Linked DNA regions of Notamacropus eugenii. The protein of the gene in region 1 interacts with the protein of each later gene in a biochemical or structural test. Links are inferred from orthologs where the notes say so. Each region holds a gene or a part of one and is shown on either strand. Other genes may lie near its edges.

Region 1 (7,437 bases):
GACATTATTACTATTCCCATTTTCCAGATGAAGAGACTAAAGTTTAGAGAAGACAAATGTCTTGTCAGTATAGGAACCCATGGCTGATAAGGGCTAGACTTGGAATTTCCCGACTTCAGGGCTCTTCCAAGATGTCTAGATTGGCAAGATCTTGGGTCAGAACCAAATCACTGAATGGCAGAGCTGACAGGGAGAGGCTCTCTAGCCTTAACCCCTTCATTACACCACCAAGGTGTCTGAAACTAGCTCAGCTCCAGACAGACTGAGGACGAGAATGCTGGGACCCCAGAGCTGTCTAGGGCTCCAGCTCCACCCTACCATGCTGTCTAGTCATCCATCAGTCTCTCCTGTTTCCCCTCCTGGGGCTAGAACAGAAGCAAGGCAGACTGCCAGAGGAAGAACCCTCAAACTGAATCCTTCTTCGTAAAGAAATGTCTACCAAGGCAGAAAGTTAGAAGCCAGAAGACCCTCTTCAAAAACCTCTTATCTGACGGAGACCTTGTAAAGTAGAGATTGCAGAAATATGTCATGCTTATTATATTCAATGCCACTCTGCAGGACACAGAGAGAGAAAAGATGATGAGGACAACTTCATCCCTACCCTTGAGTTTAAATCAAATTATCTACTGTTCCTGTAGCTCACGGAGCAAAAACCTTTCAACTACCCAGGCATTGTACAGTCACACGATGCTAGAGACAGACCATCCAGGGGCATCTCCATAGTCTATGAACACGAGTTTTGTCTGCTGACTCCTCTCTGGATATCTCAGAATCCAAACAACCTAAAATTAGCTCCTGCTCCAGCTGGAAGATGCAACGAAGTACCTGCTCTCCAAAGTGAAATCAAGCACAACCCAGACCAGTCCAAAAGGCAGCCCTGGGAAGTGATGAAAAGCCCCAAATTTGGAGCGGGTTCAAATCCTGACTGCTACCTCCTAGCCAAGAGTCCATGAACAAATCATCTAACCTCCATAGGCCTCAAAGATGCACTAGAGAACATCCATTAGGTCCCTCCCTGCTCTCCAATCCTACATCCTGAGTTTAATGGCCTCCTCATCTTATAGATGAGGGGAAAAAAATGCCTTACAACCCATGAGGTATTTATGCTAGTCATCCAAAGCATTGGTGTTTCTTAGGGTGAATGTTCCCTCCCTCCACAGTCCCTTCAAGATTTAGTAGATGGCATAAAAAGCTGCTGGAGCCAGTCTTCTAGTGATGAGAGCACCTCCTCCTCTTTAAGTAGACTGAGGGAGGCCTTCCTGCCTTAGTAGGTGGGACCTGCCTGGGTCTTTAGGTACAGAGCGAAGGGGACCTGCTGGGGAGCACCTGCTTCCCAAGTCTATGTCCTTGACAACTTTACTATAGCATATGACTGCCTACAAAACTGCAGAAGATTGAGTGAGTGCGACCGTGTTCATAATGCAGAAGTGGCCAACAAACATGAAAATCATTACCATCTCATCCTGAGCACAACTTTTCAAAATGACCACTGGAAAATAAAACCTTTACCCTGCCAGTAGTATTCTTATTAAATGAACATTTAAAGCACCAAATGCATTTTTAAAAGAAAGAGCTCACGGCTACAGTGGTCCTTCAACTTCAAGAGACATTTATAAACTCAGCCCCTACAATCTGAAAGGCCCCAACAATCCTTCAGGAACTATCCAAACACATCCAACCTGTGACCCTGGTCAAGAGATCGCTGCGGTTCTGCCCCAGTCCAGGGCTCCTTGCAAAAGCCTTTCTTCAGTCTCCTATCAGTTCTGAGAGGGAGACTTGACTGGCTCAGGACAAGGGCATTCCTATCTCCTGACAGGTAGTTACAAATAACACCCCTCACCCACCCGCCCGGCAACTGGGTCTATATATCTCAGGTCCAGCCCTTAGCAGGAACCAACAAGTCCCACAAAAAGTGTGGTCACTTTATCTCCAGCCGAAGGTTGGATGACTCCGGAAAGGGCCAGATCAGAAGTTGAGAAAGACATGACCTGAAGGGAACATCCCTGCCTGCCTTTATGGAAGGATGGGGAGGAATTCCGAGTGGGGGCTCAGGGAGGGCGAGGGCAGCGGCGGGCAGGCTAGCACCTGGCACTTCGGGCTTTCTCTGGGCTGGACACTGAAAGGACGAGACCTGGGGGGTATGGAGCTGATTCTGGGGGCAAGGGAATGGAGGCTGGGTGGGAAGGGCTCAGCCCTGGCACAAGGAAAGCTCTAAAAGCCTCTCCCACTTTCCAGAGGAGTGAACCTGAGGTGGCTCTGACTGCTGGGAGATGGGGGCTCGCAAGTGGGGGAAGGGAGCTGCTGGGGGGCTGGGCTGCGGGGGCAGCCTAGGGGCTCAGTTTCCTCATCTGTCAACTAAGGGGGAGGACGAGACGCGCCCATTAGCTCTGCACGAACCCCATCAAGCGGCATTTATGAAGCGCCTACGGTGTACCTGAGCCTAGCGGGGTGACTCAGGCCCCGCGTTACGCCCAGAAACAGTCTCCAGGACTCCGTACCGTGGGGGGAGTCGCCGGGACGGCCCCCTGCCAGCGCCATGACCTCCCTCTATGACCTTAGGATGAAGGGAGAGCAGCACAGGGGCACCAGGAGGGGCCGCACGCGGGTGCCGCCCCCTGCCTCAGTTTCCCCTCTGCCACGGGATGGGTTTGCTGGCCGCCCAGCGCCCTCGCACCCGAAGTGGGCATCCCTCCCGTCCCGGCCGCGAGCCCCGGCAGCGGCCCGGGACGGTTGGACGCGGCCGAGGGCGCTCGGCTCGGCTCGGGAGCCGGCGGTTGGGCCGAGGGGGTGAAGCGGGCGGCGGGGGCGCGCGCGCGGGCACAGGGCGGGGGCGCGCGGAGAGGGCGGGGGCGGGGGCGCGCCCGGGCAGCCCGCCTCGTTACCTGGGTCAGGGAGAGCTGGGCCGCCGAAGCCATGGTGTTTCCATCATGCACGGCGAGCGGCCGCGGCGAGGACGGAGGCGGGCGCCGACACGCTCGAGACGGCGGAGGGGAAAGAGAAGGAAGCGCAGAAGAAGGCGGCGGCCAGGCCCGGGCGGCTCACCCAACTTCAGCAACTTCCCTCCTGGAGCCACGCCCCGCCCGGCCCGGCCCCGCCCCCGCCCTCACACCCTGCCTCTCCCGCCCTCGCTCCGAAGCGCGCGCGCGTGCACACCCACGCACTCCGCTTCCCCCGCCCCTCCGCCCCGGGCCGCCCCGAAAACCCGGTGCGGATCACCCTCTGTGCCGGCTCCCGCAGACTCCGCCCGGACCGGAGCCGGACTCCGCCCGGACCGGACTACCGCTCGTCCCCTCCCCTTCACTCCCGGCCCGAAGGCTGGCGGAACGGAAAACCCGGTCAGGATGACCTCCCTGGAGCGCTCCTCGAGGTCCCCTTCCAGCCCATCCAACAGCCCCAGGGCCGCCGCTGGCGAGACTCGGGATACTCCAAGTGGGCCGTCCCCCGGGCAGAACTCATGATCTCCCCCGGCCCCCCACTTCCTGAACTACCCCCTGACCTTATCAGGGCAGCCACCTGGGCTCCAAACCTCCTGGCTCCCAGCCAGCCAAACCACGTGGTGGCTCCGCCCCGCCCCTCCGCTCTCACCTGGACGTCACCTGGGCCTCGCGGCCATCTGCCCGCTCCAGTCCGGCTGCCGCACACGAGGCTGCCCAGGCGACGTCCTCGAGGGCGGCTCTCCGGGCGGCCCTGCCCTCCTGCGAGCTCCGCGGGCTCCCTAACCCCCTAGAGCCAGGGACGAGTCCTGTTTGAGGCTGGCACCCTCCCGCGCCCGGCCTTCCCGGGCAAAGCCCCGCCCGACGGCTCCCCTGCCCTCGCACCCCGGCCTGGTGAAGACCCCTCGTGTCACCCCCAGTTCGGGTCAAATGCCCCCCGGCTCCAAGCCCTCCTGGAGCCGGCCCCTGCCCGCCAGCAGCTGCCGGAGCCTTCCCCGCACGTGTGCGGGCTGTCTTCGGGGCAGAAGGCCGGTTCCTCGAGGGCAGGGGCTGTTTCTTCCCTTTTCTCTTCCATTTTTTTAATCTTTGCTCGAGGAGGTTTCTAAGTCACCTTAAGAAATGCGATTTACGGATATTATTTTAAATTGGGCGCACAACCTTTGGCCGAGCAGAGACCCTGCCCGCAGCAGGTGCTTGCTGCATGGCATGGCCTTCCTGGCCATCCGAGCCCATTGCATCATTCAAACTCGGAGCTTCTCACCCCAGAGGCAGCACGGACGGCCGACCCTGAGCCCCTTGCCTGCGCCCTCTGGGTCTTCATCTATAAAATGAAGAAGATGCCTGCCAAGACTCAGAGCCCTGGGCTTGAAGTCAGAAAAGACAAGTAGTAAAACCCCTACATCTTTTTTGAGACAGCTTCCTCATCAGTAAAATGGGCATAATCAATGGCCCTTGTGCTGCAAGGTCATTGGGAGAGAAGCTCTTTGTCAGCCTTAAAGAGCTGTAGAAAGTTGAGTTGTTGCTCTAACTGGAGTCAGTTTAGGGTTAGCGTCAGGAAAAGTTCTAATGTTAAATGATCCGACAATGAGGACTTTCCCAGAATGGGACAGGTGGCCTCAGGAGGCCATGGGTCCCCCCTCCTCGGAGAACTAAGCAGAGCTGACCACTCCCTCATCAGCTGTGTTACACCTGGAATTCCTTTGGTTCATATAGATGCTCTGACACTTAGGAGTTCTGTCTGTGACTGTAGGTTGTTGTGAGGATCACACAAGATAATATTTGTAAAGTACTTAGCCCTGTACCTAGCATATAGTAAGAAAGCACTGTATAAATATTAGTATTTTTATTACCAGTCTCTTAGCCTTAGTTTTGTCATCTGTGAGATGAAGACAGAAAGATCTGGGTTGTATTAGATTTAAAGCTGAAACAGACTTAACCAACAAGCACTGATTAAGCTCCTACTGTGTGCCAGGTATTGGGCATATAATAACAATAAATGAAACAATTCCCATCACTAGGTGATTGTATTCTAACAGGGGAGACACTGAGCCTCAGGAAAATTAAGTGACTCTTGTAAGGTCACATACAGTAAATAATAAGTCCCCAAACCTAGAGTCCAAACCCAGGTCTTCCAAATCTATCTCCATCCCTGTTTCCAAGGTACACACTGCTTCATAAGGTTTTTGTGAATGCCATGTAATCCTTAAAGTGCTGTATAAATGGGAATGGCCCTGATGATTAACCAGTGAAGGGGGCAGAGCCACAAAGTGATCTGCCTACCCTCCTGCCCCCAACTGGTTTGGGATGAGGAACTGAGCATACACACACACACACACACACATATACATGCATCCACACATGAACACTCATCTCTCAGTGAGTGGAGGAGGCTAAGGGAACTCAGATACAGGATTTTCTTTGTATGTCATTCTCAGTTTTCTTTTGTTTTCTAAGGGCTGTAGGCTGCTATCAGCTCAGTCACCAGGGAACACTCCAGTTTTGTGATGTCAGCATCAGCAAACTGAGGAACACTGTATTATGGCTTGAGTCTGAAGGAAGGCTGGTGCCTATAGGGCTTCACTTGGAAGACACTGCTATCTCAGGGCACACAAAGCTCCTGTTTTACTTACAGAAAGGGGTGGGTTAAAGGCCCATCCGAACGGAGCTACGATGCCCCTCCCCCTCTGCCCAACAACAACTGTACTTTCACTTCCATCATGGTGATGTAGAGCACTGGGGAGGATGGTCCCAGTGGTCAGTTTAGTAAATATAGTTTGCCTTGTTCTGGGAAAAGCAATGGGGGATTGGGGTTGAGGGGAGCAAAATAACAATTGTGTTACAGAACAGTAGGGACCCCTTGCTGGGGCCCCACCCTGGGAGAGAGAAACCTGGAGAAAAGATCAGCAGCAGGGTAGAGGCAGAGGAACTGGGTGCCTAGGTCTGCCACTCACTGTGGAGCCTTTCAGGCAGCTCACTTTACCTTCTGGCCTCAGGTGACTCATCTGTAAAATTAGGAGGGTCAATCCTATGGGCTGTTATTAGGCAGAATTTTGGAGTCCAAAAACCTGACTTCACAAGCTCTTCCCATCTTCCAGGTAGTCATGGTGCCAGGGGGAGGGGCGGGGAGACTTGAGGCAAGAGAGAGCTGAGTTCATATCCTACCTTGGACATTTCCAGTTTGATTGATTGTAGGGGAGGACACTCTCTGGGCCTCATTTCCTCATCTCTACAATGCAGGTAATACCTGCTGGACCTGAACACCTATGAAGGAGTCATGGGTGTCAGGGCTTCTTTCCACTAACATTCCCAGAAGGGCAGAAGGAATCTACAGCCTCCACAGGGGACACTCCCTTTCCTGATTCAGTGGGCTCAGCCGAGAAGTATTAGGGACTTGCCTGAAACACAGGCCAAGGGACTGCCCCAGGGTCATAGAGCTAGTGAGTGTCAGAAGGCCGGATTCAGACCTTGCTCTGTTCTGCTTCTATACCCAGTGTCCTTTTCAGTAATAACTGTAGCAGTCTGCTGGATCATCTGGCTGTTCTATCCACCATGCCACAAGTAACCTCTTTGGGATTTGGATCCAGGTCTCTTGATTCCAGATACTGACAGATCATAGCTCAGAGGAAGATAATAGGATTTAAAGGTCACCTATTCTAACTCCTCCTCATCTTACAGATGTGGACACTGAGGCCTAAAGAGGTTACATGCCTTGCCTGAGGTCACATGTGGCATATCTGGCATTCAGATCCAGGGACCTAAAGTCAGGACCAGATTTGAAACTACCTCTTCCTGACTCCAGCCCAGGATACACCAAGCTGGCCCTATTCCACTAAAAATATGAACTAACACTTCCATGGTGCTCTACCATTTTGAAAGTATATTCACAATGACTCCATTACTATTATTTCCCCCATTCTACAGATGAGGCCCATGCAGCCACATGGCCAAGGAGACAGATCTCCAGGCCTGGAGTCAGGAAGACTCATCTTCGGGAGTTCAGATCCAACCTCAGACATTTAATACCTGTGTGACCCTGGGCAAGTGCCTTAACCCTGTTTGTCTCAGTTTCCTCTGGAAGGATATGGAGAAGGAAATGGCCAACCACTCCAATAATTTTGCCAAGAAAACCCCCAATGGGGTCACGAAGAGTTGCACAGGACTGAAAATGACTAAACAACAACAGATGCATCTAGAAACTGCTGTCCCAAAAAACAAAATTACTTGTCCTGGATCATGTAAAAACATGGACAAGCACCTATTAGGTGCCTGCTCTGTGCCAGGTACTTAGAGGAGGTCAACGGAAATACAAAGACAAAAGTGGAACAGTCCCTCTGCTCAAGGAACTTTAACTTTCTTTAGGGAGACTGTCGATATAAGAGAGATACAGAATGATGGGAGGGGGCCTTTACATCCCGGGGGGTGGGGGGCGGGAATCATGGCAGGCCTGTTGGTAGAAGTGCCATTGGAGCTGAGCTCTGAGGCAAGCTTGGGTTTCCAAGAGGCA
Region 2 (7,442 bases), on another chromosome or scaffold:
CTCCCTTAAGCAAAATAAAAAGTCCTCGACGTTAAACAGCAGAACCACTTCCTCCTCCTGCCCTGGAATCTAACTACAGCCGTATTACTGTTGTTTACCTATTCGATTTATTTAGAGGAATAATAATAAACGTTCAAATGTTATTATCATTTCATGACTATTTAAATAAAAACATTTCTGAAACAAGCTGTAATGAAAACACAAGTTGAAATTATCAGTTTAAAGAACGTTTGACTATGGATGGAGACATTTGTCTTCTCCCGTTCTTTAGCTGAGTTAATAAGTACATAATATCCTTAAAAAAATAAAGATGTAAAAGGATGAATTCATTTCTAATTTTAAAGAGAGAGGTACACCTTAGGGTACATCTTCTCCTCCTCACTCCCTCTCCCCTTAAGGATAAATGAAATGACTGATTTTCTGCTTTACCATCGAAATTGAGTATCTTTCAAAATAGCAGTACATGGTTGATTCTATGGAATTCAGTATCCTACGAAGTTCAGGTGCTTGGAAACACAGGAGCAAAGTATACAGATGGTCGGTAGTCTATCAGGATAGGCTTTTAAGTGGCTAAGGATAAAGGCTAGACTCTTGGAAACACCACCGTAACAAGTGAAAACGTAAGGAAATGAAGACGAATATGGCAAGAACAAGCCTTTTGATCATTGGCTTGAAGCAATAGGTAGGTAAATGGGGGAGGGGGAAGGAGAGTAGGGAGGGGACAATACATAAGACTTGAGGATGAAAAAGAGAAAAATGAAAAATGAAAGAGGTAGGGGAGAGAGAGAGAGAGAGAGAGAGAGAGAGAGTGTGTGTGTGTGTGTGTGTGTGTGTGTGTGAGAAAAGTGGCCTTTGAGGAATCCTGATCGTGAAACCCAAAGTCCAACAACATTCAACGACACTAGTATTCTAAGAGAGAATTCCCGAGGAGAGAGGGGTTAAAAAACAACAACCAAAGCAAAACAAAACTCACCATCGCTGAAAAACTGTGTACTAACATCTGCGAAGTCTGGGTTAACGAGTCAGGGCAGAAAAAAAAATCAAGAGAAAAGTGACCGACTGCACATACACACACACACCCAACACAAAAGAGAAGCGAACGAGCCCCAGTTCTATACTATGACTACAAAGTCACAACGCCGGAGACTCTGGAGAACAAGAAAAGCACGACTATAATCCATCAGAACTTGAACCAATTCGTGCTGGTGCCCTTCATTGGACGTTGAAAACTCGATCTCTATCCTGTCGTGATAGTATAATTCAAAGTTCTTTAAAAAGAAAAAAGTGTGTATGTGCTTGTTTCTTAATCCTTTTCTTTCCCTCTTTTCTCCTTCTTTGACTTAGCGGCTGCTTCACTTGAGCTTCTAATAACAGAGATCGACTGCTTTCCTTGAGACTCCTAATAGCAGATATTCATGACTATTAATATTACACGAATACTTAATAAGGGAAGAATGGCTGGAAATCGAGCGTGAAGCGAAGAGGCAACTCAAGGCAGAGTCTGTTCTAAATGACGTCCATTGAATGAAGAATCAGTGTATCTAATCAGAGATGGGGAGAGGGAGAGCTAGAGACAAAAAGAGAGAGCGAGAGAGAGGGGGACATGCCGTGGCGTCTGACGAATCACAAGGAAGGGGCAACATTTTAAAAGGTTGCAGGACATGCAAAAGTGAAAGAGAAAGAGCTCTAGCGAGGAAGACAGAGGGAGAGGAAAAAGAAAGCAGGGAAAAGAGAGGAGAGAGAGATAGAGAGAGAGTGCCTGCATGAGAGAGAGAGAGAGAGAGAGAGAGAGAGGAACAGAGTGGGAGAGGGAAGGGAGGGAGTGGGAACCACATAGAGAGGGAGGGAGGGAGGAAAAGGGGGGAGAGAGAACGGATGGGGGAGGGGAAAGAGAGAGAAAGAAAGGGAGGGCAATCAAACCAAAAAGAGTGAGGGCAGACCTCAGGATGCTGCTGCTGCTGCTGTTGCTGCGAATATCCTGCATTATATGCCAAGGGCTGCATCTGGGCGGCCTCTTTGCTTTCTGTGCCAGAGTCTCTCCCCTGCCCTTTGGTGCAGCTGTCTGGTCCGCTTTTCTGCAGGGCAGGAGCCTCGGGGCCCCTCGGTCCCCTGCCGCTGTCGTCGGCCGCCGCTACCAATGCCTCCCCGAGAGATCCTTCCATGGCTTTGCCCAGGACCCTGACCGAACAGCAGAGACCCGCCCGAGACTGGAAACAACGAGGCATCCAGAGTTCTGCGTGCTCCTATTCCTCTCTTCCCTCGGCCTTCATCCCTTGCTTCTTTTTCCCCCCTCCTTAAGGGGACGCCCTTCTCTGCCCTACCCGGGTTTCGAGCCCAGGGACTGAGGAGTTACTGCCTGCAGGCTCTCTTCCTTTCCCCTGTTCAGCCAGGTCTGGGTGCCTTCTCCACTTCACCCAGCTCCCCACACTACTCCACCCATGAGCAGCCACTCTTTCCTGGCAACTCGGCGGTGACTGGGGCCGGGAAAAAGGCAAGCAGAGATGGTCAGGACTGCCCCCCTCACCTCCCAGAGCATCCACCGAGCAGTCGTTTGGGAGCTCAGGGGGACAGAAAGGTAGGGAGTTCCTGGGACCCAGGAGAAAGAGAAGGAAAAGGAGCCAGCCCCAGTCCCTCCACACACTGCCACAAGCTAGCTCCCCAGCTCCGGGTGCAAACCCGTCGGACTGGCTGGGCCACTCTTGAACACCAACTCCCCCCAAAGATGACACGCACATGCTCGAGCTTCGCCGCCACCACTGCCGCTGCCAGTCTGCCGGGTTATCATAACAACGGGCACTTTGCCTCCTGCTTGTCCTACAGAACTCCTGCTCCCCTAATCAAACAGAGCTGTAATCCTGCACCGAAGCCCGGGTTACAGTCTCTTCTGCACACACAGCCACTGGGAAAGTTGCAATCTTCTTAGCTTTATTTTATTCTCCCCCGCCCTCTTCTTAATCTCTCAGCAGCTAGAAGACTATGCCATCCGTCTCCTCTCTCTCTCTCTCTCTCTCTCTCTCTCTCTCTCTCTCTCTCTCTCTCTCTCTCTCTCTCTCTCTCTCTCCTCTCCTCTTCTCTCCCTCTCTCCTCTCCTCTTCTCTCTCTCTCTCCTCTCCTCTTCTCTCTCTCTCTCTCTCTTTTTCTCTCTCGCACACACACCCCATACTCACGTTCCTAATGAATGTCCCAACATTCTTTCATATCTCCACTCAATTCCCAAACGCCTCATGGAGGCGACTCGGTGTCCGATTCCCCCATGAAGCTTTAGGGGTACTGAGACTTCATTGGAGTTCATCCTCTGGTTAGGAGGAGTCCCAATGCCTCCGGCCTAGGGATTTGGAATTGTAGCCAATTATTATTTTCCATTTTCCTGGTCTGTTTAACACTAACTAGAGCAAACAGTCCGTCCATTCCGACCACTACAACAAAGCCAAGTTGACCCTCTTCTCCTCCCCTTTTTGGTGCTCGCGCATACACATGCGTCCTCATCTGGATCCCAAACGCACTCTTCCATCAGCTGAGAAGGGGGTGGTGGTGGTGTGTGTGCTTGGAAAGGAAGAAATATTTCTAGAAACAAGAACTAAAATAGTCTTCATAAAAGAAAAAGGCGCGGGGGAAAGGGGGTAGATAGCTACATGTCGTTCGGATAAACCTGGTTTCTGATTTCAAGCGAAAACAAGATATTGTTGCTCCGTATGCAAACAGCTCCTTTTCCTGACGCTTCCAGAATCAAATGACAAAAAGATATAAAAACTGGGACTCCAACTTATTTATTTAGATAATCCGCCGTTCTGAGTGATTCATCAGTTCTTCCTTTGGGGTAATGGAAGGGACCAAATGCGAATGGCTATAGAAAACTCATATAAGAATCTCGAACGAATGACTTAAAGAAGCCTGGACCCACAAGATATATACCACAGTAAAAACTGAGATTGTGCCCAAGAGAAAGGGGTTGGGGGGAGGGGAGACCCTAATGCACCGCTCACTCCCTCACGGTCGCACTCGGGCACCGGGTCCCAGAGAAGCCCGGTGTTTTCATGGTCTCCACATTATCCCTATGGCAAGACTGGTCCCACGATCTATCGCAGAGTCCCATCGTTTCACCCCACCCCAGGACAAGGGGTAGAAGGTAGAGAGCGAAGCGAACTCAAAACACCAGGCGGCCGCGCCACCAAGGTTCCCCGCTCTCGCACTTACGGAAACTAAGTTCTTTCCTCTCTGAGGCTGAGTGAATTTTCCTAAGTTCTTGATCCACTGACCCTGAAGTGAGACCCAGCTAACTGCAGGAATAAGGCGCAAGGCTGATAACATCCCATATTGTACCTGATTTCAGCTGCTCATTAGATGCCAGCTAATTACTCGACTAATGTTTTGTGTTCCATTCCGCCCCCCACACCTCCATACTCCCCTAATCAGCTTCTTCACCAGAAGATTCCCTGCACATCAGTAAAAATTTAGGCTAAGGTTAAAAAGAAAGCATTGGCACAGAGAAAACCCTATCTTCCATTTCTTTTTCTACTGACTTTCAGGACCTCCATGAGTTCGGAAAAGGCACACCACTGGCAGCACATGCTTCAAAAATCCCCGCAAATTTCTCTGCTCACTCTCCTAGTGTATCTCCAAAATTTAAATTTAAAAAGAGAATAAAGACGTAAAGAAGGGAAAAATTACCCCACTTTCCCAAGTTCTGGGTGGGCGCTCCCTAACCCAGTGTCACTCCTTCTGGTAGCCTGGGTTGAGGAGAGGTAGAAGTTTGTCCTATACGAAATTCTCAGATCGATGCATGAGGCAAGATCCCAGTGACAGCCCATGGTGCCCCTGGACGTGCCCAGACCAGCAAAGAGCTTACCTCACAGTCTTCGTATTTGATATTATCCGTCAGTTTCCAAAGCATTTTCATGGATTGGCGTGAGCAAATTTGTTTCTCTCTGCCTTGCACCAAAGTGGAGCCACTCTCTGGGAAAGCGCAGAGTACAGGCTGGTGGTGGAAGGGAGGAGGAGGAGGCGTGTGGGGAGAGAGCTCCTGTGTGCGCTCGGAGATCTCCCTCTAATGGTAGAAACTTTTCCCTTTTCCAGCTCTTTACCAACAGCCTAATCGCCTCATTAGCATATCAACAATAGTCCAATTGCTCTCCAGCACAAGAACCTGCAGCAATGGACACAGGTATATAGGACTCACAAAGCGGGAAGCTTCCTCCCAAAGCTCTGGGTTGCTTTGGAAGGAACGGAAAATCTTCGCTGCCGTTCCTTTTGCCAATCGATTTTGCACTGCCTCCACCCTCCCCCAATTGCCCGAATCCCCCAGACCCAACATTACACACACATACACATACATACACACGTACGTACACACACACACACGCACGCACAACACTTACACAGTGATTTCCAGGGAAAAGCTTAAAAGAGATGGGTGAACCGAAAGTCACTACTATTGTTCCCTGATATGGAGCTAGTGTCCAACGTTTCTAGCCTTCATAACCAAGAGAGGTTGCCCTCCTCGTCCTCTCCCTTTTTTTTTTTAAGCACTAATAATTGCTTCCATAGCAATTCAAGGAAAAGAACCCAGCTATATTTTTACCTTATACATAATCTCATTCATTCCAGGAAGGGACTACTCTACCAGAGCTTTCCCCCTCCAATTTTATTGTTGGTTTTTTTGGTGGTGGTAGTGGTGGTGGTGGATATGTGTGTGTATGTGTGTGTGTGTGTGTGTGTGTGTGTGTGTGTGTAATTTTCTTCTAGGTTGACAGAGGGTTGTTTTTTTTTTTAAACAGTTGAGATGTCGCCTAATTCCTCTGTGTGTAAAATAAATGTTTAAAATCATACATTTTTATTTTACACAAGTTTCAAAGGCAAATTGCTTTTCTTGCAGGAATCCTTTTCTCTCCTCAACTCCCATTTATTCCTCCAAAAGTTAGTTTGAAGTTACGATTGACTGACAATTGAACTCCTTCAGGCCATGGGGTTGTGGGGGAGAGATTTCTTTAAAACTTAACTCATGATGATATGTACATAATCATCTTAGTGGTGCTACAGCACTACTATACTACAGTACTACATGTACAGATGTATGTATACACATTATTATGTATACATCAAAATAAGTGATTGGAAACCAACCCTTCACAGAGCTAATATGCTACAGTTTCCCCAAGATTCCCATTTTTAATTAAGACAAGGAGGGCTCCTCTATGATTTGGTGATGTTACCAAGGCTGACTCACAACACAGTGCCCTGGCAGATGGTGGGAACCTGCAAAAGGTTTGGTGGTTGGTTATCCAGGGCTCTCGGGGGTCTAGAAAGTTAACTACATGCTTCATTCAGTACGTTGACTATAGTAAAAATACTGACATGATCCTTAGACATATGGATTTTGTGTCATTTGTCCTTAAAGAAAGTTTCTCCATTTCTGTCTATTCACTTTGTCTCTCCCTTCTCCTTTGCTTTCCTTCCAATCCTCTACCTCTTCTCTCCCTACTTCCTTCCAGTTCTCCTTTCTCTCATTTTTTCCTTAACCTCAATGACATCTGCAAGGTCATCTATCTTTTTCCATGCTGAGGTTAACAGTCTTTGACTTTATTTGGGGCCACATTCCGCAAGTCACACAGGCTGGTGCAGTTCTCATTGTGTGTGTTCTCTTTTTCATATTCCTGTTGATGTGTGTGTGTAAGGGAGATTTGGGGGCCATTACACAGTTGTTACCAAACAGATAGAAGAAGGCAGAGGAAGAAGCAATCCAGTTGGCCAGGAGAATATATTCCCTGGATCAGGTAGTATCTAAAATCTAGAGCAAGACCTGACTAGAAATGTTGATCTTAAATGCTCAAGAAGCTGAGGGAGGAGAGGACTACTTTGAATGCAGTATTCCTTAACTACCCTCTTCTCTGTGTTCCTATTTCTTGCCATCTGAATTTGGCATAAAACACTAATTTTCAAGTCCCCCTCCTTTGGCTCAGCAACAAGAATAGACCTAAGGCTCCCTTTTGATTATATTAAATTCAGTTTTCCAGGGAAGACATTTGGGGACTCTGCACTGTGGTCAGTCAAAAAGTCATATGTAATGCTGTGCTAAGCCAATGAATATATATTCTGCATGCATAAAACAGATAGTCATGTTAGATCTGTGTATTGCCTAGATATTGCCTGTATATGTTAAGGGGTTCCTTTTCTTCAGATGAAGGAAAGACAGAAATTTTCATCCATTCTTCCTTCACCCCTACTTGTCCTTTCAGCTTCTTCACCATCTCCACCCTTCCAGGTCCCCTTGGCACCACTAGGCTCTGAATAATCCCAAAGTGTGTAAATTGTTGTTCTATTCCTATTGAGACTGCAATTGAGGTGCAGATCAGGGCCTGTAGTTTATGCAAAGAGGGATGTGGGGTGCACTCCTTTTATTAAAGCACTATCTCCAGCCAGAGTCATCCAGTGGAGCCAGTCAGGAC
Region 3 (7,419 bases), on another chromosome or scaffold:
GGGGGGGAGGCGGGGACGTGGCTCTGACCTTGTCATGCTCCTCCCGGCTCAAACTAAGGGCCAGCTGGAGCTGGACGTCATCCTCAGGGCCACAGGGTGGGGGCTGGCAGGGTGGGGAGAGAGAATGTGAGGGGGGCGGGGCAGGACCAAGAAAGAGCTGCAGAGCCAGGAGAGCCAGAGAGAGCCTGAAAGAGGCTGGACTGGGGGCTAAGGAAGTGAAGGATGAGGAAGATGGAGAGGAGATGTGGCCAAACCCCAGTGCACCGCTGCCCCCCAGCAGGCCCCCGCCCCCGCTACCTGGTCAGCCTCTTCCTTGCTCATGGCCAGGGCCAGCTGCAGCTGTAGCTCCTCCTCCCCACTACTCTGGGGCCAGGCCTGCTCTGCCTCTGGGGGCGCCCCAGACCCCACAGCTGCTGAAGATGCTGCGGAAACAATGGTGGGAAGGGTGGGACAGGGCCTAGCTCCAGGGAGGTCCCCTCCCACTAAAGACAGACATCCCAGGTCTGGTCCTGCCCCCAAACGCAAGAGAGAACACATGATGGCACCCTTGTTAGCTATGTCCTCATCTCCATGCTTTCCTTCAGCACCTCTGCCCCCACTACCAGGCACTCCCTTTGGTCAGACTGCATGGACTGGCCTGGGCACAAGGTCTACGGAACCTGAGAACTTGGGGGAGGGGGGAACGACTGCTTTTTCTTTGCATCCACAATGCTGAGCACATGTGGTGTCCAACACGTAGTAGGTACTCCAAAAATGACTAAGACAGGAAAATACCAGAAACAAGAATCAAGAGAGGAGATGGAGCGGAGGATGGAAAAGGGACAGCAAAAAGTGAAGAGACGGAGATAAGAGAGAGAAGCAGGGAAAAGAAAAGACACAAGGAAGAAAGAGAGGAAAGAGAAGCAGAAACATGGAAACAGGACATTCAAGCCTTTTGGGAGAGGAGGGAGGAAGGCCCTGCCCAGGCTCCCCAGCTCCCCAGGCGCCCTCCGTCTCAGGCTCCCCAGCTCCCCAGGCGCCCTCCGTCTCAGGCTCCCCAGATCCTCTCCGTCTCAGGCTCCCCAGATCCCCAGGCTCCCCAGATCCCCAGGCGCCCTCCGTCTCAGGCTCCCCAGATCCCCAGGCGCCCTCTGTCTCAGGCTCCCCAGCTCCCCTCCGTCTCAGGCTCCCCAGCTCCCCTCCGTCTCAGGCTCCCCAGCTCCCCTCCCTCTCGGGCTCCCCAGCTCCCCTCCGTCTCGGGCTCCCCAGCTCCCCTCCGTCTCGGGCTCCCCAGCTCCCCTCCGTCTCGGGCTCCCCAGCTCCCCTCCGTCTCGGGCTCCCCAGCTCCCCTCCGTCTCAGGCTCTCAGGCTCCCCAGCTCCCCTCCGTCTCGGGCTCCCCAGCTCCCCTCCATCTCAGGCTCCCCAGCTCCCCTCCGTCTCGGGCTCCCCAGCTCCCCTCCATCTCAGGCTCCCCAGCTCCCCTCCCTCTCGGGCTCCCCAGGCGCCCTCCGTCTCAGGCTCCCCAGCTCCCCAGGCGCCCTCCGTCTCAGGCTCTCAGGCTCCCCAGCTCCCCTCCCTCTCGGGCTCCCCAGCTCCCCTCCGTCTCGGGCTCCCCAGCTCCCCTCCCTCTCGGGCTCCCCAGCTCCCCTCCCTCTCGGGCTCCCCAGCTCCCCTCCCTCTCGGGCTCCCCAGATCCCCAGGCGCCCTCCGTCTCAGGCTCCCCAGCTCCCCTCCATCTCAGGCTCCCCAGCTCCCCTCCGTCTCGGGCTCCCCAGCTCCCCTCCCTCTCGGGCTCCCCAGCTCCCCTCCCTCTCGGGCTCCCCAGGCGCCCTCCGTCTCAGGCTCCCCAGCTCCCCTCCATCTCAGGCTCCCCAGCTCCCCTCCCTCTCGGGCTCCCCAGCTCCCCTCCCTCTCGGGCTCCCCAGATCCCCAGGCGCCCTCCGTCTCAGGCTCCCCAGCTCCCCTCCGTCTCGGGCTCCCCAGCTCCCCTCCGTCTCGGGCTCCCCAGCTCCCCTCCGTCTCGGGCTCCCCAGCTCCCCTCCCTCTCGGGCTCCCCAGCTCCCCTCCGTCTCGGGCTCCCCAGCTCCCCTCCCTCTCGGGCTCCCCAGCTCCCCTCCGTCTCGGGCTCCCCAGCTCCCCTCCCTCTCGGGCTCCCCAGCTCCCCTCCCTCTCGGGCTCCCCAGCTCCCCTCCGTCTCGGGCTCCCCAGCTCCCCTCCCTCTCGGGCTCCCCAGATCCCCAGGCGCCCTCCGTCTCAGGCTCCCCAGCTCCCCTCCGTCTCGGGCTCCCCAGCTCCCCTCCGTCTCGGGCTCCCCAGCTCCCCTCCCTCTCGGGCTCCCCAGGCGCCCTCTATCTCAGTCCCAGGCAGGACCGCACCCCAGGCAACGTCTGCGGCTGATAAAGAGGAGGCTGCAGCGGGGCTGGGGAAGACGAGGAAGCCTCCCTCCCCTGCGGGCTCTCACCCGTGGCCGTCTGGGCCAGCTTCTCCTTGGTCTTGAGCGCGTGGGCTCGCTCCTCCCGCAGGCGGTCCTCGTCCCGCAGCAGGGCCACCAGCTGCTTGGCCTTCTCCCGCACGTTGACGCCCTGGTCCTTGCCGTCCCTGTCCACGTACTGGAAGTCCTTCAGGGTCTGCACCGCGTACATGTTCTCCTTGCACTGCTGGGACACGCGCTCCGAGCCGGTCTTGATGAGGTACTCCATGAGCGTCATGGCCTGAGGGCAGCAGGGGGTGGGCCCGGGGCAGCTCGCAGCGCCCCGCCCCCCGCCCCCCGCCCCCCGGCCCGGGGCGCCCCTGACCTTGTACACGTGCCGCCAGTTCTTGCCGTGGTCGTTGAGCCGCTTCCAGATCATGCTCATGATCTCCGAGAAGGCGACCACGTTGTAGGTGAGGTCAGCGATCTCGGACATGAGCGAGCTCGAGGGCCCCCAGGGGTCATTGCTGGTGGCCTCGCGCACCTTGATCTCCGCCTCCGAGTAGTTGTGGACGATGTTCTTCATCTGCCGGCGCAGCGACGAAGTCGACATGGCTGCGGGGCCGCCCCCGGGGCCGCGGGAGGGGGCCAGGGAAGGGGGAGCCGGTCACCGCATCTGGGGGCGCAGAGGCCGAGAGAGGCGCTGAGGCGGGAAATGGGTGTGCACCGGAGGGGGGGGGCCACCCACCAGCACGCTCGCGGCCCCCCGCTGTGCGCAGACCAACGCCAAAAGCCCCTGGCCCCTCCCCACCGCCAGGTCCTTGCACCTCCCAGGGCCCGGCCCCAGGGCCTCCGTCCAGCCCAGAGAAGCTCAGGAGAGACAAGGCAAGGCCAGGAGCCGGGAGGGAAGAAGACGCGGCGACAGCTCGCCCAGGGCCTGGGCAAGGGGGGGAAACTGAGGGAGAGCGCGGCAGGGAGGGGGCAGAGCGCAGGGGCAGACGGGCCGAGCAGGGCCGGGGTCCCAGAGGGCACGGGAGGGGTGGGGGTCGACGCATCCACATGGGACCCGGAAACCTCAGACAGAGCCGGGGAGAAGACCCCGAGACGGGGGACGCAGGGACGCGGCGGAAACAGAGAGGGGGAACCCCGCCCCGCCCCCCTCACCCGCTCACCCCGGGAATCCTCGGGCTCCGGCTCCCGGGAGGGGGCGGGGGGCAGCCGCCGAGCGCAGGGGAAGCGGCCGGGAAGAGGACGGCCGGAAGCGGAAGTCGCGCCCCGTCCGCTTCCGGCTTCCCTCAGCTGGCCGCCCGCCACGTCACTTCCTGTTCAGGCCCCAACCACCGAGAGGAGAGCGGCTAGAGCGCCGCGCGCTGGGGGCAGGGCAAACCGAGGGCTGGAACGGAGCATGCAAGCCGCCCCTCCTGGAGACGGAGTGTGCGGTCCGGTTCGGGATCCGGCAGGGCCCTCCGGAATTGGCCCGAAGCTTTTACAGATGGGAACACTGAGGCGGGCGGCGAGGCACCGCCTTCCGAACCCCGGAGCCCCGCCCCCATCGGCCCCTTCACTCCGGGGAGAACGCCAAGTGCGTCAGTGACGTCACCACGACAGGTGTAACTGACGGGGGCAGGGGGAGGGGCGGTCGCACCCACACCCCCGAGTCAACACTGGACGCTCCGTAAAGTAAAATACAACAAAATGTTTAATGAGCAAATTCGTCTTTAGCAAATATGAAACTGCCAGGAGAAGGGGGGCGGGGCGGACAGGAAGGGGACGGGCGGAGAGAAACAACATCTCTACTACATAAGAAACCATCACGGGAGGGGGCGGGGTCCCAGGAAGGGGCGGGGCGGGAAGAGGAGCTTTATGGTCCTGGGCGGGCAGAGGTCGAAGGTCAGGAGAACAAAATTGAAAAAGTTTTGGCCGTAAAATATAAACACGCTATGTTGCTACCGCGAGGGGAGGAGGGGGGCCCACCCCACCCCCCCAATGCCCTCCCCCATCCCCCATCCCCGTGTGTTCGTGTGTGTATTGTGTGTGTGTGTGTGTGTGTGTGTGTCCACACCCCAGCCCCTCCCCTGCCCAGGGCTTCAGCCCCCGGCCTTCGGCCTCCGAGGCGCCTCTTCCTCCTCTCCTGGCCAGGGTCGAGTGAGGGGGAAGGGATGGGGGGGTCTCCCAGCCAGCTCCGGCCCCCTGACCCGGCCCCCCTCCCCGGCTGCTTCTACCAGAAGTCCCGGCGGTGGTAGGAGTCGGGGTCGCAGTACTTTGTGACAACCACTCTGTTGGCGAACTTGCGGCCAGTCAGGCCCTGCATGGCCTTCTGACAGTCGAACACGGACGTGAACTCCACGAAGATCTGCGGAGAGAGCGCGGGGGCTGGGGCCCGGCCCGGGGTGGGGGGGGGGGGCTGGGGTCCGGCCGGGGGGGGGGGGGGGGAGGGCCCGGCCCGGGGTGGGGGGGGGCCGGGGCCCGGCCCGCGGTCTGCTCCCACCCACCCGGGCCACGTGCAGGGCTCCTCCTGACCTTGCCGCAGCCGGGGACCTCCACACCGTCCACAGGCCGGGGGATCTCGATGGACTTGACCACCCCGTACTTGCTGCACTCATCCCGGACATCCTCCACGATCTCCTCATACTCCTCGTCGTCCAGCAGCTCCTCGGGGAGCACCATGTTCATGAGGCACAGCACCTCCGTGGGGTGGCCACCCATCTGCACCTGTGAGCTCATCAGGCCAGGGACCTGGAGCGTCACCGGCGTCTGGTTTATCGTGCTCTGTGGGGGGCCACGGGGAGGGAGGGGTCAGGCCACAGGCCTGGGAGCCTCGGACCCCTGCCCGCCATCGCTGCTCTAGCTGACCCCCCTCCTCCTCCCCACTGCTAGACTCCACACCCCAGTGGGACACCCACACCCCCCCCACCTCCCCCAGGCTGCTGCCCACCCTCTGCCTGGCCTGCCTGTCCACTCGGCTCCTCCCAGCCCAATCCCACCCCCCCTTCCACCCCCCAGGGCCCCCTAGCCAATGGAAGATGACGTGCCGAAGGGCTCACCAGCGTTGCGTTCTTGGCTCCCACACTAGCCCTCTGTACCAGTAGCTTCTTATCCCCCAGTTGCATCCCGTTCAGCCCCGCGATGGCCTGCAGGGGGTGGGGTGGGGGTGGGGCGGGCGTGGGGGGAGTGTGGGTCAGGGGCCAAATTCCCCAACCTCCCCCTACCCCTGACTGGAGTGGGGGCAGGGGCAGAAGGGCTGTTCCCCACCCATCCCAGGGGGCTGACCGACCCTCCCTGACCCCCTTAGCCCAAGCACACAGGGACCACTGGCAGAGGTCCTCCAGGGACACTCACCTGGTCAGTGACGTTGATGTCCACGTACTCACAGAAGGCATAGCCCTTGGAGAGGCCCGTGGCACTGTCTTTGACCAGGTTAAAGGCTTTGAGCGGCCCAAATGAAGTCAGCAGTTCCTTTACCTGTGGTGGAGAAGTGGGGGGTGGCGGGCGGGCGGGGTGGAGGCGGGGACGAAATGGAGCGAGTCAGGGGAGGGAAAGCAAGAGGACAAGCAGGTGACAGGGGAAGTTGGCAGGTGGTTACCTGATCATCATTCAGGTAGTTGGGGAGTCCCCCAATGAACAGCTTGTGAGCAGAATCTGGGACCACAGTGGACACGACACCTGCAGGAATGGAGAGGGGCAGCCCTTCAGTGGGAGGTCACTTCGGCCTCCAAGGGCCTGGGGAGATCTGGTTACATGGGGTCCACACCGCTGCAACCCACCTTCTGCTCCAAACACCCAGGAGCAGCAGCAGAAACCAAGAATGTGACTAACCTCTGGGACACCAACAAACACCCCTCCCCAGGATGGACATTAAACATCTGGTTAAACACCAACTCTTGTTACAGAGGGGGACCAGGCCCAGCAGGGTGCCCTGACCAGCTGGAAGGGCCTGTGGAGATCTCAGCTAATCCCACCATGGCTGTGACCATGGGCTAAGATGACTGCCTCAGAGCAGCAACCCCGGCAAGAAGGGCAAGGTGAGGCACAAGTGTGAGACCAGCCCACCAACGGCACTCACGGCAATCAATGCCTCCTCCAGCCACCCGGCCTAAGAAGTGAAGAGCAGAGCCGGCTAACACTGAAAAAGCCAACTTGAGATTCTGGGGTTTTCTAGATTCTAAAAAATGGGGAGTCACTGGCTTTAGGGCCAGAAGGTCCTTGCTGGGCATATTTCTAGTGAGGGGTATTGAAAGATTGTCGATTCTAACCTCCTTAGGGCACAAAGGAAAAAACTAAAAGCTTGCTTAAGGTCATGCCTGAGAGCAGCAGAGCAGAGACAGTGACCCTGGATCCCCAAGTTCAAGGCTCTGGCAGAAAAACCATACCAGTGGTCACAACAACTGTGCAAACTGAGGCCCAGGGACACACAAGAAGGGCTGGGCTTAGATCGCAGCATTTGGTATGCAGAGCTTCCTCAAAACACCTCAATCTCATGCTCAACAAAGACCTTACTTGACTGGCTACCAGTAAGATCTCATTCTTAAGCTAAGACCCATGAGTTAGGAGAAAGAGCAAGAATAAAATGCCCAGGGAGTGTTTGCCTAGGCTCTGACCTGCCCGCAAGGAATCTCCTACAATATTCCAGAAGGGTTGCCCAGGCTGAATGATGTGCCCCCTGCTCTCCCCTGTGGAGCCCTGAAAACATGTGAGTGCAGAAGGAAGCGCGATCTGCCGCCTCCTCCTTCCCCCAAATGTTCTTTATCATCACCAAGCTCCTTCAACCTTCTTCCTTGGGTGTCCTGCCTCTGGACTGGCCCACCTCAATAGCCTCTGGGTACTTATTGGCCAGCTTAGTTCTAAAATACAGTCCCCAGAACTGAACCAGGCTCCTGCCAGATGTAAAGTGACTAAAATAGGACTCTTGTCCTGGGCTCTGGACACGAGGCCTTGGACCACCTATTACAATGGCTGGGGCAGCATCTCACCCACTCTTACTGAGCTTGTGGTCTACCCAGACTTCCAAGGCCCTCCAAAGGAGTCCCAA
Region 4 (7,566 bases), about 15 Mb from region 1:
AGAAAGAAAGAAGGAAGGAAGGAAGGAAGCAAGGGAGGGAGGGAGGGAGGGAGGGAGAGAGTCTAGCCTCATTTCTTTTTGCCATAGTCACTAGACTGGTAAATTAGAAAAATTCCCTGAATGTGTCATTTCATGATTTCTGTGCATAATCTGGAAAAGTCCCTTATGATATCTCAGTTGACAATGCAGGGCAATCAGAGCTGGATGGTGTACAACTAAGTGAATCTGTAACTCGTTAAGCAACTCTACACAAAGAGTGTTGACTATAGATTAGCGTGATCCCAGAGGGAGGTATCTAGTGGAATGAAGCTGAGTTCTGTCTTTGGCCTCGCCATGTTCAACTTTTTCTTTTCAGATCAGAGAATTAGATGACGACATTGAAGTCATGTTTATCAAATTAAGAGATGAGACAAAGCTAGAAGGAATAACTACTTTGCTAGACAACAGTCAGAATTCTAAATGATCTTGGCAATTCAGAACGGTGGAACCAAACAAAGTTGAAATTTAAGAAAAATAAATGTAAATTCCTGTAATCATGTTTGTTTCTTTTTCAGCTGATTATGTAAGTATAGAATAGAGGAGTCCTCATGTAGGAGTAATTCATGTCAAAAAGACCTTAAGATTTTAATTAATCACAAGCTCAAAATGAGCCACGAGAATAGTATATAGTTCATTTAAAATGTTAATGATATCTTAGGCTGCATTAGTGGAAGCAGTATTTGAATTAAAGGAGGTAATAATCCCACTGCGCTTCCTATTAGTCCAATGATATCTGGAGCATTTTGTCCAGTCCAGTCCCATCCTCTTTATTGGCTTCATTGGTATAACCAAAAGGCTAAAAGAGAAAGAGAGGACTGTAAACCATGTGACATTGTACAAGAAATGACAGTAATTTGGAATTATTCTAAAGAGTAAAAGACTTTGGGGATGGGGGGGATGATAGGTGGCTACCCTCAAATGTTTGAAGGGATGTCAAGTGAAAGCTGGATGAGGTTAATTCTAGGGTTGCTCCAGATACCAGAACTGGGGCTGATGTGTGGAGCTTAAAAGATGGCTTTCACTTTTGAAAGAAGTAAAGCTGTATGAAAGCAGGTTGGATTCTAAAGTTCTGTGATTATCTTATAAAGTAATGGCCAAAGTCCTTTCCAGCTCTGACATGCCATGGATCTTGACTTAATCTAATTTGCTAGACAACTTCTTGCTTCCTAACCCAGTACTTTGACCATGCCCCTCTTCATTACTCTTTGGATGATCCTCAATTTTTCTATACTGATCTATCTTCATTGACAGTGACAAAAGAATGATTGTATTTTAATATTGATACCTTCCTGGATTCTCCTAACATTGTATGGATCATATCACTCTCTTGCCTCTACATCACTTGCATCATTCAAAGTCAGTTTACAATCTGTCTTCAATGTCCTTGGGAAAGTCATTGGAACTCTATGGGTCTCAGTTTCCTTACCTGTAAAATGATGGGGGTTGGACAAGCTGATCTCAAATCTCCCTTCCATCTCAATGTAGGCAGCCTATACTCAAAGAGAAATTTTACCTTCTATTTTTCTGTATCATATCTGTTTGGAACAGATGGCTACAACCATTTAAAGGCACAATTCAAAACAGAAATCACTGTCATCAATGTTTGGTCTTCCAGTTCACTTGTTGTGTATAGTGTCAAAGGGATTCCTTTTTCCTTTGGGCTATGATTGGGTCTAGATGACCAGTGAGATCCTTTTCAACTCTGATTTCAGGGATTTTTGACTCAGGGGGTATTATTCAGAAGATAGAGACAAGATGATTCTTTTCTTCTAGTAATATTGAACAAAGAAAAACATTAAGCAAGTATTGACATCATGGTGTTTTGTAATCTAAGCAATGGAATTTTAACAGTATAACTCATAATGAAAAGCAGAGAAATGTAAAATAAATAAATATATCATGTCCCCATTCTTGGGGGAAAACAAATACTCCTTGAGCGAGGACTATCATTATTCATGGCAGAGAACGGTCAGTGACACATGGCAACACCACGCTTTTTTTTTTTCATTTTGTAGGATTACTGGGAAAGTGAGCAATTTGGGTTGAGACAACCTGATCTTTGAAGACAATTTTTAGTTAATGGAGCCCAGGACTATTGAGCTGGTAATCAGGATATCTGGATCCTGCTCCTGCTCAGCAAATATCTTGCTGTGTGGGCAAATAACTTCCTCTCTGGTCCCCAATTTCCTCAGTCAATAAAATGAGAGACCAGACACACTGGAACATGTCGCCCCTCCCTCTGACTCACGAGGTCCCTTCATTGTGCCACTAGGATATATGAGAAAGTCTTCTTTTTGCAACAGAAAAGTTCTGACTCCTTTCTACCCTTCTAGTCTTTTTACACATAATCACCTTCCCCATATAGTATATGTTCAATTGATTGGCTAATTTCTTGTTCCTTCATCTCCCATCTCCTTACCTTTAAACTGGCTGACCCTCTTGCTTGGAATGCTTTCCCTAGAAACACCTAGCTCATGCTGTACATAGATCACTGTGCCCAACCTGAGTTCAAATCTGGCTTCAAACACTTAGATATGTGATACTGGGTGAGTAACTTAACCTTTACACGCCTTAGTTTTCTCAAGGTAAAATGGGGATAGTAATAGTACCTACCTCATAAGGTTGTCATGAGGATTAAATGAAATAATACGTGTAAAGTGCTTAGCACAATACCTGACCCATAGTAGGCACTATATAAATGCTACTTACTATTATCATTGGTTGTTCTTTATCATTATTGTTATTTTATATATTTCATTATATATTATATAATACATGTTTATGTCTTGATATAAAAAATCTCTATCATACATTATCATCATATTGTTGTTATTTATAAACAATAAAGGCAATCAGAAAAGGTTCCTTGTAGAAGGGAAGATTTTTAGCTGGAACTTGAAGGAAGTCAGGGATAAGAGATGAAAAGACAGAGCATACCAGGCAAGAGGGACAGACAGCCAATGGAAATGCCATAGAGCCAGGAGATGGAGTGTCTTGTTCATAGACTAGCAGAGATGCCATTTTCATTAGACCAAAGAATGCACAGAAGGGTTTAAGATGTCAGAAGACTGGAAAGGGTGAGAGAGGGTCAGGTTGTGAAGGGTTTAGGATGCCAACTGGAAGATTTTGTCTTTGATCTCAAAGCGGATAGGGAGCCACTGAAGTTTGTTGAGTACGAGGATGGCATGGTCACATCTGCGTTTTAGGAAGATCACTTTGATAGTGAGTGGAGAATGGAGCAGAGTTGGCAGAAGCTTGCAGAGGGAAGATCAAGCAGCAGCCATTAGAGTAATATTGGAATAGTTCAGGCATGAGGGGATAAGGTCTTAAATCAGAATGATAGCAGTGTCAGAGGAAGAAGAAAATGCATATGGGACATGATGTGAAGGAAAACTGAGAGAATTTGGCAGCCAATTAGGTATAGGAAAGGAATGAATATCAGAGAGAAAATAGGAAGTCAATGACACATAGATTTGGAAGCCAGGTCACTGGGAGCATGTATTGTAATAGGGAAATATAAAAATACTGTAGTTTTGTAGGTTTATTGTGTAGCCTGGAACTTTGATAAAGTGACTGTTAAGTTGAAGATAGCAGAAAACAAAATGAATAGAAGAATCTTGTTCTGACCTAAATTCAAATGTGATCTTAATCAACACATTAAAGCACCCAACAGTGTAAGAGAACAAGAGCTCATAGGGACTCGCAGAATTTGTGTCCATTGATATGTGTCACATATCAATCCAACAAATATTTGGTAAGCACTTACGACGTATGAGTCACTGTGCAAGACAAATGATGGAAACACAAAGGGTGCAAGACACAGACTATCTCTTCAAAGACTTTACAATCTCTTCTGCGGATGGAATGAGGCATTGATTTGTAAAAGAGAGAATGTTTCAGTATTATAGAATCAGAAGGACTGACAGAGATATTGGTCTCAGTATGTCACACACACAAACACACTTTAATAAATTCCTTCAAGGATCAAAGATGTAAACTCTTTTGTTTGTTTTGAAGCTTTCAACACAACCAGGACCCTGTCTTTCTTGTCTTACATATTATTCCTCTCTGTATGCTATATAATTCAGCCATGCTGGCTCACTTGCTGTTCCTACAATGCAACACAAAAACTGAGCACCATAGTCTAGAGTTGGTCCATCCAGAGAAGAAGACAGTAGGACCATCATCTCTTGTGTTCTGGACATCATATTTTTCTTAAAATAGAATTGGAAAACAATTTTTGCCTGTCATATTACAAGTGTGGACAGAGAGAAATCACACTGTTGTTTCATAGTGAGTTTATAGTCTACTAAATCAGCCAGGTCATTTTCAAAAAGAACAGCTCTCTATCCAATAAAATGAAAACTGAAAAGCCATTTCAGTAAAATGAAAAACCATACTCTATTAGGGGAAGGGCATGATAGATGGTGTTACCCTAAGTCCAGCAGTATGATTTTCCACAAGATGTTGTCACAGCAATGGCTGTTGCTTGTGACATCACAGGGAGATCCATCATTTTTAACTGAAGGAGCAGTTGTATTTCCCCCCCTCTGTAGACAACAGGGACTGAGTTAGCCATGGACCATGGCCATCTAGTTTATTAACAAAGTAGAAGATGGTCAGCCCCAAAAAGGAAAAGGAACATCTGGGGAAAATCGGGGTTTGAGTACATGTCAGTGGATGGCTCTTTTTCAAGACCAAGTAGATACAATGAGCCATTTTAAAGAAGATGGATCAATACTTCAGAGAAAAGGAGGTAAGAAGAGAGTGTCTTACTAAGATGTCTGAACTAATGAAAAATAGGAAGGTGAGATGTTTCAAACATAATAAGATGGTCCTCAAATCTCCACAGGAAAAGAAGTTATACATATAGCCTTCGTATATGCAATGAGAATATAAGAGGCAATGTGAAAGTATTAATCTCTTGAAGAAGGCTATTTTCACTAGATATTATAAACAGCTTTGTAAACTAAAGGATTATAACAACATGCTATTGTTAATAGCAAAAGGGAACCTGACAACATGCACTAATGGATAGAGTATTGGACTCAGAGCCAGGAGCATCAGAGTTCACATCTTGCCTCTGATGCTGATTAGCTGTGTGACCATTGGCAAGTCACTTAACCACTGTGAGCCTCAGTCTCCTCAGCTATAAGATGAAGATCATCATACTTAGACTGTCTATCTTAAAGTGTTGCTGTGAGGCTCAGATGTGTGTTAGGCGTAAGGTGTAAAGTGTTACATGAACATCAAGTGTTTTGTTTTAATTCGTGTTAAATTTGGCATCATATAGAACCACAGATTCTCAGAGTTAGACCACAAAGATGATCTAGCCCAACATATATAGGAACAAAAACTCCCTCTGCAATCTCCCTTGGCCATGGGCATTTACTGAGGGGAAGGTTGCTTTTTTCCCCTAAGGAAATCCACTCTACTCTCATACCACTCCAGTCGTTAGGACATTTCGCATTAAACTCAGCCTCTGTTTTTCCAGAGTGTCCTCTCCGGCATATTTTAATTGTCAGTTATTCTTTCTTTTGTTTCTTTGTAAGACTTGCCATTGTGGATTCTAGTTTTTTCTATCCTACCAATGATTTTGGCTATGTAGACCATAAGTTCCTCTCTCACAATTCGAGTTTCTCTTTTGAAGCATTCAGAGGAATCCTGTTGTGATTGCATGCTCCCTTGGGAACCCACAGGGTCTTCTGCCTCATCAGGTGTGAATTCATTTTCACTTGTTTTGTGATACATATTCAAACTTGTCTGCTTTATCTGATTATGCTCGAGGTTTATCCTTTTTTTCCTCCTGAGATCTTTGGTAATTTCAAATTTTTTTTTCCTTATTTGGACCTATTGCTCACTTTCCAATTCTCCTCTTTAATGGTGGTTTTCCTGGGGGCTGAATCTCCAATTTTCAGCCTCTTCCCACACTGTGCAATTCATGGTTCACCAGCTTTGGTGTTTGTCTTAAGTGTCTTCTGAGAGGACAGAACTGGTCCCAGATGAATGCTGGGCTCTTTCTATTAGTCACATCTGTATCCTGCCCTCTCTGTTCTCTGGACAAACTGTATTGTGTAAAGAATGATCACTGTACTTTGGCAACCTGGGCAAGTTTCTGCTATTTGGAATTTGGATCTTGGTGGCACTAGAGGAAGGCAGGAGTGGGTTGAACTAGGGTGCAGTGGGGGTCAGGGTGTGGAGACAATTTCTGTTGAAAGCCCTGGGGAAGGCTTATGCAGCCTTGCTGTTGGGAGTGTGGTAGGTAATAGGAGAAAGAATGCTGAGAGAGTGTTTTTATTTCGTTTGGGTTCCTGGAACCCTAAGCTATGGAAACAGCTAAAAATTGCTTTATCTCTTACACACAGTTGCTGTTTTGGAGAGGTTTGAGAGGTCATGAGAATGACAGAATATGTCCAGTCTTCCACCTTGGGGCATGTGACCCTAAAGTCCTTATCTGTCTTCATGCATGTTCTCTCCATTATCCCTAAGTTTACTATCTGAAGCCAACCAAACTATGTGAAATTTCTCTTCTGCATAATAACCCTTCAAATATTGGCTCAATTCCTTTAATCAGCAAACACAAAGCATGGTCCAGCGTCTTTCATGATTTTCTAACTCAGCAGTTCTCCACATGTGCTCCTGTGAACCATGGAGGTCCTTGAGAATCTTCCAGGGAGTCTGAGAGGCTAAAATTAATTTCATAATAAGAAGACATCTACATTTCTAACTTGTAAATAGCTATGGAGATAGCCCTTCTAAACAAAATCTCTTTTGGGGGGTGTCCTCAATAATTTTTTCAGAGCATAAAGGGTTGTGGACACCAAAAAGTTGAAAACTGCTGCTCTGGTCTACCAAAGTCTGACTTATGCCTCCAGCTAGCCATCCCTCTTGATCTGGCATCACTGAGAGATCTGAGAATTATGAGCCACTAGCCACTCCACTAGAGACCTCTTCCTATTTGACACTGAGTTATTGAGTCCAGCTCTCCCACCACTTCTAAGTGCACCTAACTTTGCTATTGTTTAGTTCACATCTATCTACCTTCTTCACCAGAATAACCTGAGAGACTTTGTCAGATGTTTTGCTGCTCTAGGAAAACTGTCTTTATAAGATTTATAAGATTTCCTTAATTTATTTAAGTCTAGCTATTCCTTAACTGGGACAACTAAATGGTGCCATAGTGCACAGGAAAGATCTGGGTTAAATCCAGCCTCAGACATGTACTTGCTGAGTGACCTTGGGCAAGTCACTTAGCCTGTGTTTGCCTCAGTTTCCCTATCTGTAAAATGAAGATAATCAAAGCACCTACCTGTGAAAGTTGTTGTAAAGCTAAATGTGAGACATTGGAAAACATTTTAGCACAGTGTCTGACACATAGTAAATGCTATATAAATTGTTGTTATTGTTATTATTTCATAAGAGATGAAATTAGACCTGTGTTCACTCACCACCTTTTTTTCCCTAACTGTTCACTCTCTTCCCAGTTCCTAGAATTTTGTCAGTAATCAAAGTCAAGATATCCCTGGC

What was found.
Region 2: the proteins of EPS15 (region 1) and TFAP2A form a complex in vitro, tested with the Homo sapiens proteins (2 studies listed by BioGRID). The link is inferred for Notamacropus eugenii from reciprocal best matches to the Homo sapiens genes EPS15 and TFAP2A.
Region 3: the proteins of EPS15 (region 1) and EPN1 form a complex in vitro, tested with the Homo sapiens proteins (4 studies listed by BioGRID and IntAct, with this or other methods). The link is inferred for Notamacropus eugenii from reciprocal best matches to the Homo sapiens genes EPS15 and EPN1.
Region 4: the proteins of EPS15 (region 1) and SGIP1 form a complex in vitro, tested with the Homo sapiens proteins (2 studies listed by BioGRID, with this or other methods). The link is inferred for Notamacropus eugenii from reciprocal best matches to the Homo sapiens genes EPS15 and SGIP1.

The regions. Positions count from the first base shown.
Region 1 is NC_092873.1:511,774,495-511,781,931, forward strand, and holds the start of EPS15 (epidermal growth factor receptor substrate 15), read right to left. Parts: upstream 3,012-7,437; 5' UTR 2,916-3,011; coding exon 2,883-2,915; intron 1-2,882. UniProt on the Homo sapiens protein: Involved in cell growth regulation. May be involved in the regulation of mitogenic signals and control of cell proliferation. Involved in the internalization of ligand-inducible receptors of the receptor tyrosine kinase (RTK) type, in particular EGFR.
Region 2 is NC_092875.1:181,716,887-181,724,328, forward strand, and holds the start of TFAP2A (transcription factor AP-2-alpha), read right to left. Parts: upstream 3,008-7,442; 5' UTR 2,226-3,007; coding exon 1,941-2,225; intron 1,349-1,940; exon of another isoform or gene 1,001-1,348; coding exon of another isoform or gene 974-1,000; intron 596-973; exon of another isoform or gene 466-595; coding exon of another isoform or gene 430-465; intron 1-429.
Region 3 is NC_092876.1:18,168,334-18,175,752, reverse strand, and holds the start of EPN1 (epsin-1), read right to left. Parts: upstream 3,004-7,419; coding exon 2,776-3,003; intron 2,692-2,775; coding exon 2,442-2,691; intron 423-2,441; coding exon 298-422; intron 104-297; coding exon 29-103; intron 1-28. Other genes in the region: U2AF2 (splicing factor U2AF 65 kDa subunit), read right to left, coding at 4,609-4,743, 4,911-5,159, 5,423-5,521, 5,730-5,852, 5,974-6,053. UniProt on the Homo sapiens protein: Binds to membranes enriched in phosphatidylinositol 4,5-bisphosphate (PtdIns(4,5)P2). Modifies membrane curvature and facilitates the formation of clathrin-coated invaginations. Regulates receptor-mediated endocytosis.
Region 4 is NC_092873.1:527,079,798-527,087,363, forward strand, and holds the start of SGIP1 (SH3-containing GRB2-like protein 3-interacting protein 1), read left to right. Parts: upstream 1-4,563; 5' UTR 4,564-4,719; coding exon 4,720-4,795; intron 4,796-7,566.